Linked DNA regions of Saccharomyces cerevisiae S288C. The protein of the gene in region 1 binds, or shares a complex with, the protein of each later gene. Each region holds a gene or a part of one and is shown on either strand. Other genes may lie near its edges. A codon is read from its position in the direction of its gene.

Region 1 (4,338 bases):
AATTTTTGAGCTTTTAAACTTAGTATTGACGTGCAGCTTCCTGGCAGGCTTTTAGTTGCTGCAAGTAATAATCACATATCTGGAAGTTGCCGTTGTTTTCATCCAAACAACGTGTAAAGTTTCTCGCGTCTATTTCACAAGTTCTTCCCAACTGCTGGTCCGTTTGGGTTTGGCCGGAGGTGTTGGCCATATTTTGCTGTTGTTGCTCAACAGGAGCGGAATCAGACCCGGATCCGGAAAACATACCGGTAATACCTGCACCTAGGGTGTGTCCAATGGTGCTACCAACGGCAACACCTGCAGCAGTGGAGGCCATCTGCGCAAACATACCTGGCTGTCTCGTTTGGGCACCTGCAGCAGGAGGGTGTGAATAGGCATTTGGTTGTTGTTGTTGTTGTGGATGAACTGGAGCCGCCATGGTAGAAGCGGACCTTGTCTGAGTAGGTCTCGATCTCGATATAGGTCTTGATGATCCTCTTGAACGTGCCATATTTTAGAATTTTGTTGCTGTTGTTGCTTTTCTTGTTCTGTTCTTTGTTCGAAATATTAATCCTTTTTCTTAAAGGTTATAAACTGTACGAGTGATAGGCTTATATAGGTCGCGGAGATTGCGGTGGAGTGAAAAAGCGCTTTTCTTTTATACCTTTGTTCAAGGTGGCGTTTGCCGTATAAAAGCACACATGACATAACCGAACCTCGGAAAATGAAGTTGCACTGTTATTGCCTTCCAGATGTGTAGAATCATCACCATCTTCTGTGATAAATGAAGAGGGAATCGTACGAGGACGCCAGCATATTTTTACATCAAAATTTATGTTATTGTTGAAGGAACATTGAAAAGATAGGGCGGGCAAAATCTGCGATCAAGCCTATCCTCTTTCATCTCAGCTGTTCTAGATGCGTTACCCGGTGGTAACTTCACTGCATATTATTACTTTATATACCTTATTCTATATGTTGCCCGGGTAGGGCATTATGTAGCATCACCCGGAAGAACTTTTGGACTTTTCTCTGTCAAAAGATATTACCTAAAAGGGTCAAAACAAAACAAACCCAATAAAGAAAATCCAAAATATAGAACGAATAAATATCTCGAGGACCTGGGATGATCTTTGAATGTACATCCTTTGAAACAAGGCATATCTTGAACAGTTACTCTTGTGCTACTCAACTTTCGTACAATACATATAGAATCACTGAGAAAGTAAATCCAATTCAAGCGGCAGTTTCAAAGAACAATAAGCCTTTTGTGTCAAATTCTGATTCTGCTTTTTTTCCTATTTTTTCATCCTTCAATTTTGTGGCATATACTACATTAACTTTCAAGAAAACTTAAAAAAGAAAAGACAAAAAAGCTAAACTGCATAGTCAAGTTTGTATAATTGAGCTGAGTATTATTTTTTGTACACAAAAACATTGGCTTTCTTATATCTTCTCTATATATACTCTCTTTCATTCATCGATAAACGTTACATTTGTTATTCATAGAGAATAAAAATCACAGCCGTGGAGAAGAAAGAACAGAGTAAGATCAAGTCGAATAAAGATGTCGTTGGGTCCTCTTAAAGCTATCAATGATAAGCAATTGAATACCCGTTCCAAGTTAGTTCACACCCCAATAAAGGGAAATACCGCAGACCTCGTAGGAAAAGAAAATCACTTTAAACAAACAAAGAGACTAGATCCGAATAATGATCATCACCACCAGCCAGCTCAAAAAAAGAAAAGGGAAAAGTTATCAGCTTTGTGTAAAACACCACCTTCATTAATCAAAACAAGAGGAAAAGACTATCACCGAGGTCATTTTTTAGGTGAAGGTGGATTTGCTCGCTGTTTCCAAATTAAGGACGATTCAGGCGAAATTTTTGCTGCCAAAACAGTTGCTAAAGCCTCAATTAAATCAGAGAAGACAAGAAAAAAGTTGTTGTCGGAGATTCAAATTCATAAAAGTATGTCCCATCCAAATATCGTTCAGTTTATTGATTGTTTTGAGGATGATAGCAATGTCTATATCTTATTGGAGATATGCCCCAACGGTTCATTAATGGAATTACTAAAAAGAAGAAAAGTTTTAACAGAACCAGAAGTTAGATTTTTCACCACTCAAATATGTGGTGCAATTAAGTATATGCATTCAAGAAGAGTTATACATAGAGATTTAAAACTTGGTAACATCTTCTTCGATTCAAACTATAACTTAAAGATTGGTGACTTCGGTCTGGCAGCTGTGTTGGCGAATGAAAGTGAACGTAAATACACCATATGCGGAACACCTAATTACATCGCACCTGAAGTGTTGATGGGTAAGCATTCTGGACATTCATTTGAAGTAGATATTTGGTCATTAGGTGTTATGCTTTATGCTTTGTTGATTGGTAAGCCACCCTTCCAAGCAAGAGATGTAAACACTATTTATGAAAGAATCAAATGTCGTGATTTTTCGTTTCCAAGAGATAAACCAATCTCAGATGAAGGTAAGATTTTAATAAGAGACATTCTATCCTTAGATCCAATAGAAAGGCCCTCTTTGACTGAAATTATGGATTATGTATGGTTTAGGGGAACTTTCCCACCATCTATTCCTTCGACGGTCATGTCAGAAGCACCAAATTTTGAGGATATTCCTGAAGAGCAGTCACTGGTTAACTTCAAAGATTGCATGGAAAAATCTCTACTATTAGAAAGCATGAGCAGCGATAAAATTCAGCGTCAAAAGAGGGATTATATTTCTTCAATTAAATCTAGTATCGATAAACTAGAAGAGTACCACCAAAACAGACCATTTTTACCACATTCTTTATCCCCTGGCGGGACGAAACAGAAATATAAGGAGGTTGTTGATATAGAGGCACAAAGAAGATTAAACGATTTGGCTCGTGAAGCAAGGATACGTAGAGCACAACAGGCCGTTTTGAGAAAAGAATTAATAGCTACATCGACCAATGTCATTAAATCAGAAATCTCCTTGAGAATATTAGCCAGTGAGTGTCATCTTACTTTGAATGGCATTGTAGAAGCAGAAGCTCAGTATAAAATGGGAGGTCTTCCGAAATCAAGATTGCCTAAAATTAAACACCCAATGATAGTTACCAAGTGGGTCGACTACTCCAACAAACACGGATTCTCCTATCAGTTATCAACAGAGGATATTGGTGTCTTATTTAATAATGGCACCACAGTTCTCCGATTGGCAGATGCAGAAGAGTTTTGGTATATTAGTTATGACGATCGGGAAGGTTGGGTAGCAAGTCATTATTTATTGAGCGAAAAACCACGAGAGCTAAGTAGACATTTAGAAGTAGTTGATTTTTTTGCCAAGTACATGAAGGCAAATTTGAGCCGAGTATCTACGTTTGGCAGAGAAGAATATCATAAAGATGATGTATTTTTGAGAAGATACACAAGGTATAAACCATTTGTTATGTTTGAACTAAGTGATGGTACTTTCCAGTTCAATTTCAAAGATCATCATAAAATGGCAATATCCGACGGAGGTAAATTGGTGACCTACATTTCTCCCTCCCATGAAAGCACCACATATCCCTTAGTTGAAGTACTAAAATATGGCGAGATCCCAGGATATCCAGAAAGTAACTTTAGAGAGAAACTAACTTTGATAAAGGAAGGTTTGAAGCAGAAGTCCACAATTGTTACCGTAGATTAAACCAATATTAAAGTAGAAAGAAATACGAATACGAAATTACCAGTCCATTGATTGGGCCCCATTAATAACTAATACTAAATAAAATAAATGGTCTTGCCCTTAACGAAGATAATATATAATATTTACCCCTAGCATTAATACCCTTTTTCTAAAGGTACGAAATGAACAAACATCTTTCATGTTAGTTCTTCCTTTTCAATAGTTCTCATATAGCGTTTTTTTTCGCCTGAGCGGTTCTAGAGCTATATCTATTCAAAATTGCCATGCTTTTGTATTCATATTGTATGTATGGGATGATAACCTGTCGCTTCCTGAGATTTTCTCAAAAATATTGTTTTGAACCTAGATTTCTTTTTAATTATTCTTACAGGTGCCCATTGGAAGAGTGACAACATTAATTTTGAAAGCTATTCACTTGGTACATCCGCGGTTTACCAATTTTTAAGTTTTATCAAAAGCTGGCTTACTTGACATGTATCTACAAACTTAAGAATACTATTATGGGCAGTTATTTGCTAATTCTTTGTTACCTAGTTAAAATCCAAAAAATCCTGATTTATATTCATTTTATTACTGTATTCCTTTTTTCAAGGCGGGAGAAACTTATACCGCCATAGTAAAATAAATAGTGACTAAGGTAGCCAGAACTTCTCATCAACAAATTGCGAAATTAA
Region 2 (6,061 bases), on another chromosome or scaffold:
AGCGAACTTGGTCTTGTCAGCAATGAACTTGTCATCTTCGTGGAAGTAAGATCTTCTTTCGGAGTGACCCAAAATAACCCACTTAGCACCAACATCCTTGATTTGGTCAACGGAGTTTTCACCGGTGAAAGCACCAGAAGCCTTCAAGTAGGCGTTTTGAGCACCGACAGTGACTTGTGGCTTCTTAACCAAAGAGACAGAGTAGTCTAAGTAGGTAGCTGGAGGACAGATAACAACTTCGACATTTTCTGGGATAGAAGCAGTGTTCAATCTTTCAACAATTTCCTTAATGGATTGTTTGGAACCGTTTAATTTAAAGTTACCACCGACAAAGAAAGTTCTAGCCATTTTTAGTTTATGTATGTGTTTTTTGTAGTTATAGATTTAAGCAAGAAAAGAATACAAACAAAAAATTGAAAAAGATTGATTTAGAATTAAAAAGAAAAATATTTACGTAAGAAGGGAAAATAGTAAATGTTGCAAGTTCACTAAACTCCTAAATTATGCTGCCCTTTATATTCCCTGTTACAGCAGCCGAGCCAAAGGTATATAGGCTCCTTTGCATTAGCATGCGTAACAAACCACCTGTCAGTTTCAACCGAGGTGGTATCCGAGAGAATTGTGTGATTGCTTTAATTAATTTCGGAGAATCTCACATGCCACTGAAGATTAAAAACTGGATGCCAGAAAAGGGGTGTCCAGGTGTAACATCAATAGAGGAAGCTGAAAAGTCTTAGAACGGGTAATCTTCCACCAACCTGATGGGTTCCTAGATATAATCTCGAAGGGAATAAGTAGGGTGATACCGCAGAAGTGTCTGAATGTATTAAGGTCCTCACAGTTTAAATCCCGCTCACACTAACGTAGGATTATTATAACTCAAAAAAATGGCATTATTCTAAGTAAGTTAAATATCCGTAATCTTTAAACACTATGTAGTTAGGTCTCCCTCACAATCAGTCCATTTGGGTAGCACGGTCCTCAGGACGTATCTATTGATGGATTCGTCCAGTTCCATCACCATTACGCTCCCGTTAGGAACATTGGTAAACGATTCAAACTCTTCGTATGTCCATCTAAACCATTTCATCAGGAATACTCTGGAATAAATACCATGTGTAACTAGGACAACAACATCTCTGGGTCTTCTCTCTTGCCTATCATGGAAGTGCCTGAATAAAGTCTCTTGGAAACTGGCGACTCTGTCATATACATCTGCCGCACTTTCTCCATGAGGGAATCTGAAGAAGAAATGACCATACGTAGATCTCTTCTTCATAACGTCCTGCATGCTATTGATTTTTTGGAAATTACCAAAATCTTGTTCCCTTATTCTTGGCTCATCCTTAACCCGATATTGCAGATAACATTTTCCAGGCTTCCCTTCACAAATATTATCTTCATTATTTTCGTAAACACCACCAGTATTATTAAGTCCTCTCGGCCAAAATGCATGTTTCTGTTTACCATGTGGATCATATCTCATATCTTCACATATACGAACACCACTGTTTAATTCATTATATTCATCGATGACGTCCAAAATACCTTTCAATGTTTCCCTTGCTCTTCTATAGGGTGATGTATAAAAAACTATGTTTGTGTCTTTTTCTCTACTCAGCCTGGTATAGTCCTTCAGCGGTAAAGTTCTCCTGCTACTTTCATCTTTAATATACTTCTTAGCCAAATCCTCCACCAAGTTGTGATCGTCTACGTTTAAAACACGTAATAAGTCAATACCAGCTTGTCTAGCTTGGATTTGACCTGTTTTCGTTAAAGAAATCAGATGGTTAGGAATATAACCATTGACCTCCTTGTTTTTATTTGATTCGCTTTCCCCATGCCTTATTAGTACAATTAACCTAGGTCTGGCATTCGTAAAAGAACCGTGACTGCCAGCAACATCTTCACTAACATGAACATTCTCTTCACACATTTCTTTTACTAATACTCTGAGTTATTCAAATGGAATGCTGTAGCGTAAGTTCTTTTATGTTGAACCATGAATACGAGCTGCAATTAATGCAGTTGAGAACTAGCTTTTTTTTTTTCATGCCTCTCGGTCTCTGCAGGATATCGGGTAAAAATGAAAACTGGGACATTAACCGCGGTGGGTACTCGATCATTATTTGTTCAGAATGAGTTATGATATGAACGGTAATTAATCTAGATGATAATATATATATGTATATGTATATATATGCAATTGATAATATATGGACGAGTAAATAAGAGTTAAGTCAATAGCAAGAAAGTAACAAGGGTGAATGAGAAAGTGATTCAATAACATTGCCGTTGATAGCTTTTTTGTTCCGAGCAGCAATGGAAACGGAACAATACTATTTTGATTTTATCACTAAAAGCTACTGCACTTTACGTCGTGTCCCTATATTTGAAATCTGAGATTTTCAATTAACGAGTCAATAGCCTCAAAATTTAAATCGTTTTCAGCGAAAGACAAATGCTTCTCAGAAACTATGTGTTGTTCTAAAGATTCGTATTTTACACGACAATTTTCACAGTATCCGGAATTTTTTACCGTTTCTTTCTTCACCGGCTGTGCTGTCTGTGCTGTCTGTGCGTTAAAATGTAAGGTGACGTTTGTGGAAGTTGATTTCTTCGATGCTGTTGGAGATTCTGTGGTTGTTATCTTGATGTCATTATGAACTTTGGAGTCTGCGGAGACTGATTTGGTAGCTACCTTAGGGAAATTCTGGGGCTTTCTATTAGTTTCTAAGTGTACAGCACTATCTTTGCCCGTCTCTTTCGAAGGGGCTTCGTCTTTTTTCAAAGCATTAAAATCTAATCTGTGTCTATTTTCCTTTGATGTTTCAGCAGTAGTTGCTATAGTGGCTGTATAATTTTTGTTATTTCCATTTGTCTGCTTTACTCCCAGCTTTCTATCAACCATTAGTCTACTTAATGACTTCATGTTCTTACTCATGACGCTTGCTCTTGTTGGGCCCAAACCATTGCCAAAAGAGGTTGCCACATCATTAGATTGATGTGCACCACTTGCTTTGATTTCAAATGCCTGACGTGACTTTGTTTTCAAAGTGCACAAATCATCCGGCACTTCTTCAGTTTCTTGCCTTGCAAAAGTAGCTAATACTGGATGGTTTAGTTTTGGTGTGGCAGCCAGCTCTTTTCGCTGTGGGTACTTATTCGATTCTTCTGCTATAGATTGTTTATTTTCTTTTTCTTCTTTCAACGGAGGCTCTTTGGTTTCAGTTTCATTTAATAATATACTATTTTTTTCATCGGTTTGGTCAGCATGTTCATTACGAACATCTTGAACTGCGCTATCATCCGTCTTCTTTAACTCGGTCTTCTCAAAATTTTTTGCCTTTTCTTGCATCCATTTTTTGAAGCTCTTGGTAGAATCGTTGCATGTGTGAGGTATGAATATTAGGTTTTTCGTTTGATCATTAACTGATGACGTATTCAGTAAGGTGTCGGCATGATATTGAAATAGAGCACGAAGTTGCAGTGCATATTTTTTGTTTGCTTTGTCTCTCGAGTATCTCTTTACTACGCGCTTATAAGAACTTTCGTCATAATTCCTATCCCCTATAAAAGGGCATCTTCCGAATGAACCTATTTTCAATATTGGGTAAGGTAGTTCGTCTAAGTTTGTTAGTTCTTGAGGTTTCCATTCCAAAGTTATTATGGGGGCCCAAGTTTGCCATAGGTCATAAAGGTATACATGAGGATATTTAAAGTAGTGAATATCGTCTCTTTTAGTTCTGGGGTCTCTATCCGTTGGTCCATATAATTTTTCATTGTGTAGAAGATTGGACAATGTGGGCGCAGCTAAAGAAGCAGATTTAGTCTTGCTCAAATGATCCAAATCAACATCAAGATTTTTCAGAAATCTGGCAGCCTTTTCGTAACTCCAAACTTTCATGTAGTTTTTTTTAGCTCTCGATAAAATGTCGGTATCTTTTAGTAAATATATGTTCTCAACAGACCTTCTTGTGATAACTATTGTGACAGTAGTGTCAAAAAATTGAGTTATTTGCGCACCCAATGTAAGAAACCCTCTTTTCAATAAATCTCTGCGTTTGTCCATCTTGGACTTATTATATGTATTCATCTCTACATCATCAGTAATGTCAAAGTAAATGCGAGAATCTCTTTTCATTATCTTTTTCCAATTTGTTTGCCATTCCAGCAATTCCTTAGGCGTAACCCTTGGCTCGACATTTTTCAGACCCGTACCTTTGCTGACTTGGACAGCGCCTTCAATAGACCTGGCCCTTTCTATTCTGGCCCTTTTCTTTTCATGCAAATGCTGCTGCTGTTGGAGCTCGAGGCGCTCAAGAGATCTTTTCTTCGGAAAGGATTCAGTGGTATTGTTATTGTTGCAATTATTGTCGTTAGAAAACACATTCAAGTGGCCCGCTGCTGTTGTTGATGCGGCAATTCCATTATTATGTTTCAAGTTGGTATCTGTTTCCTTTAACGGAGACCTTATTATCATTTTCGTTGGAGAAACCATTTTCTTCTTTCTTTTCTAAATATGAACCAAAAGCAGAATTCCAAATGCCTTTCAGATTCAAACCTTGAATTCTGAAGATAACTAGCCCTGCAAGCGAATTCAGATCTAAAGGAATCTACACCTGGCTGAGTATAGACTATGCAACTTGATTTTTGTTTTTCTTGGCCTGAGCCATTACCGTTATTATTATCGTTATTTCTTTATTTTTTTCTTTTTCGCAAAGATCGACCTAAGACGCGTTTGCAAAAAAAAAACCATTTACTTACTGCGGGTAAAATATTAAAAGAAACTTAGGCGTTAGCCAAGAACCGATAAGAAAATAAAAATAAAAAAGGTAATGAGGAATTAGATGCAAAGAGATATAGATATAAACACACACACACAAATATATATTTATATACATATGTATGGTGATATATATTCAAAAAAAAAAAGTACAGTAACTTAGAAACTATTAGTGGGACGGATTTGGTTTTCTTATTTCTTTCTTTTTAAAAAACTTTCTTAATATACACGTTTGTGGTTATAAGGTGGTGTAAAGTAATGTAATGATATACACTTTTTTTCTCAATTCTTTACCTTCTTCTTTCGTACGGTGTACTGCGAGAAGTAAAATGGGATGATGAATTAATTTTTCTAAATTTTTCTTCGACACTTAGTTATTTTCTTCTTCCCCTGTCAATCTCAGATTATCATAGGGAAAAATGTAAAGTGCTTTATCGACAACGTATCGCGTATGTATAAATTGATTCATGTTTTGCGTTTGAGCTGAATATGTTTTGTTAAATTTTGTCTTCTTTCTTACTGTTCTTTTTTATATTTTCTTTGAAACTCTTTCTACATCCTCCACATCTTCACTTTCATCTTCAGCCTTGTGGGGTTGTTTCCTATCCATGACGCTGTCGTTATCTATACTATCGTCGTCATCATCGTCATCATCTTCGAATTCGATTCTTTCGTCATCGTCGTCGTTGTCGTTATAGTTGTAAACGTCATCATCTTCAAAGGGGATATGGTTGTTTCCATCGTCGTAGTCGTCGTCTTGTAAAATGACGGACCCGTTCTCATCGTCGTCCAAATCACTATCATACCAAAAATTATCCGCCATATCCTTATTCGATTCTGGTTCATCTAGTTTACTTTGAGATATGTACGCCGATTCAGAAGTGGGCATTATGAAACCTTTAGGGATATCTTGTTTCGATCTTTCCACTTCCATTTTGACTCTTTGCTTGTATTGTTCAGGGTTCTTTCTGTAATCAACAGCGGCATCGACATTTGCTGGCGAGTTGATATTGGGGTCCTCTAATAGAGATACTATAGAGATCAACACACTTTCCACGGTCTGCACGGGGGACCACGTTTCAGCATCAGGTTCGTCGGTCATAGGATCCCCACTTTGATGTAAAATAGAAATACAAAGCCTGCCATCCCTGTAAACGTTTGGATGGTAGATAGCCGGCGTAAATCGAAACTGTGGTGGAGAAAAGGGAAAGTCTTCCGGAAATCTCATTTGAGCTTTGAAAAACCCTCCATGATAAATGGAATCCTCATTTAGCA

What was found.
Region 2: the proteins of CDC5 (region 1) and DBF4 are in contact, whole or in part, in a crystal structure (PDB 6MF6), measured with the Saccharomyces cerevisiae proteins. Residues at the interface, in NP_013714.1 of Saccharomyces cerevisiae: Glu553 (codon at 3,203), Trp555 (codon at 3,209), Trp565 (codon at 3,239), Val566 (codon at 3,242), Ala567 (codon at 3,245), His569 (codon at 3,251), Asp611 (codon at 3,377), Asp612 (codon at 3,380), Val613 (codon at 3,383), Phe614 (codon at 3,386), Arg616 (codon at 3,392), Ser630 (codon at 3,434); in NP_010337.3 of Saccharomyces cerevisiae: Arg83 (codon at 4,255), Ser84 (codon at 4,252), Ile85 (codon at 4,249), Glu86 (codon at 4,246), Gly87 (codon at 4,243), Ala88 (codon at 4,240), Val89 (codon at 4,237), Gln90 (codon at 4,234).

What each region holds. Positions count from the first base shown.
Region 1 is NC_001145.3:268,345-272,682, reverse strand, and holds CDC5 (polo kinase CDC5), read left to right. Parts: upstream 1-1,546; coding exon 1,547-3,664; downstream 3,665-4,338. Other genes in the region: MIX17 (Mix17p), read right to left, coding at 20-490; YMR001C-A (uncharacterized protein), read left to right, coding at 1,106-1,336. UniProt on the Saccharomyces cerevisiae protein: Protein kinase required for the cell cycle where it is involved in mitotic exit. A component of the fear (CDC14 early anaphase release) network which promotes CDC14 release from the nucleolus during early anaphase. Phosphorylates SCC1/MCD1 and NET1.
Region 2 is NC_001136.10:556,125-562,185, forward strand, and holds DBF4 (protein serine/threonine kinase activating protein DBF4), read right to left. Parts: upstream 4,502-6,061; coding exon 2,387-4,501; downstream 1-2,386. Other genes in the region: triose-phosphate isomerase TPI1, read right to left, coding at 1-348; acid phosphatase DET1, read right to left, coding at 932-1,936; SCF E2 ubiquitin-protein ligase catalytic subunit CDC34, read right to left, coding at 5,316-6,061. UniProt on the Saccharomyces cerevisiae protein: Regulatory subunit of the CDC7-DBF4 kinase, also called DBF4-dependent kinase (DDK), which is involved in cell cycle regulation of premitotic and premeiotic chromosome replication and in chromosome segregation.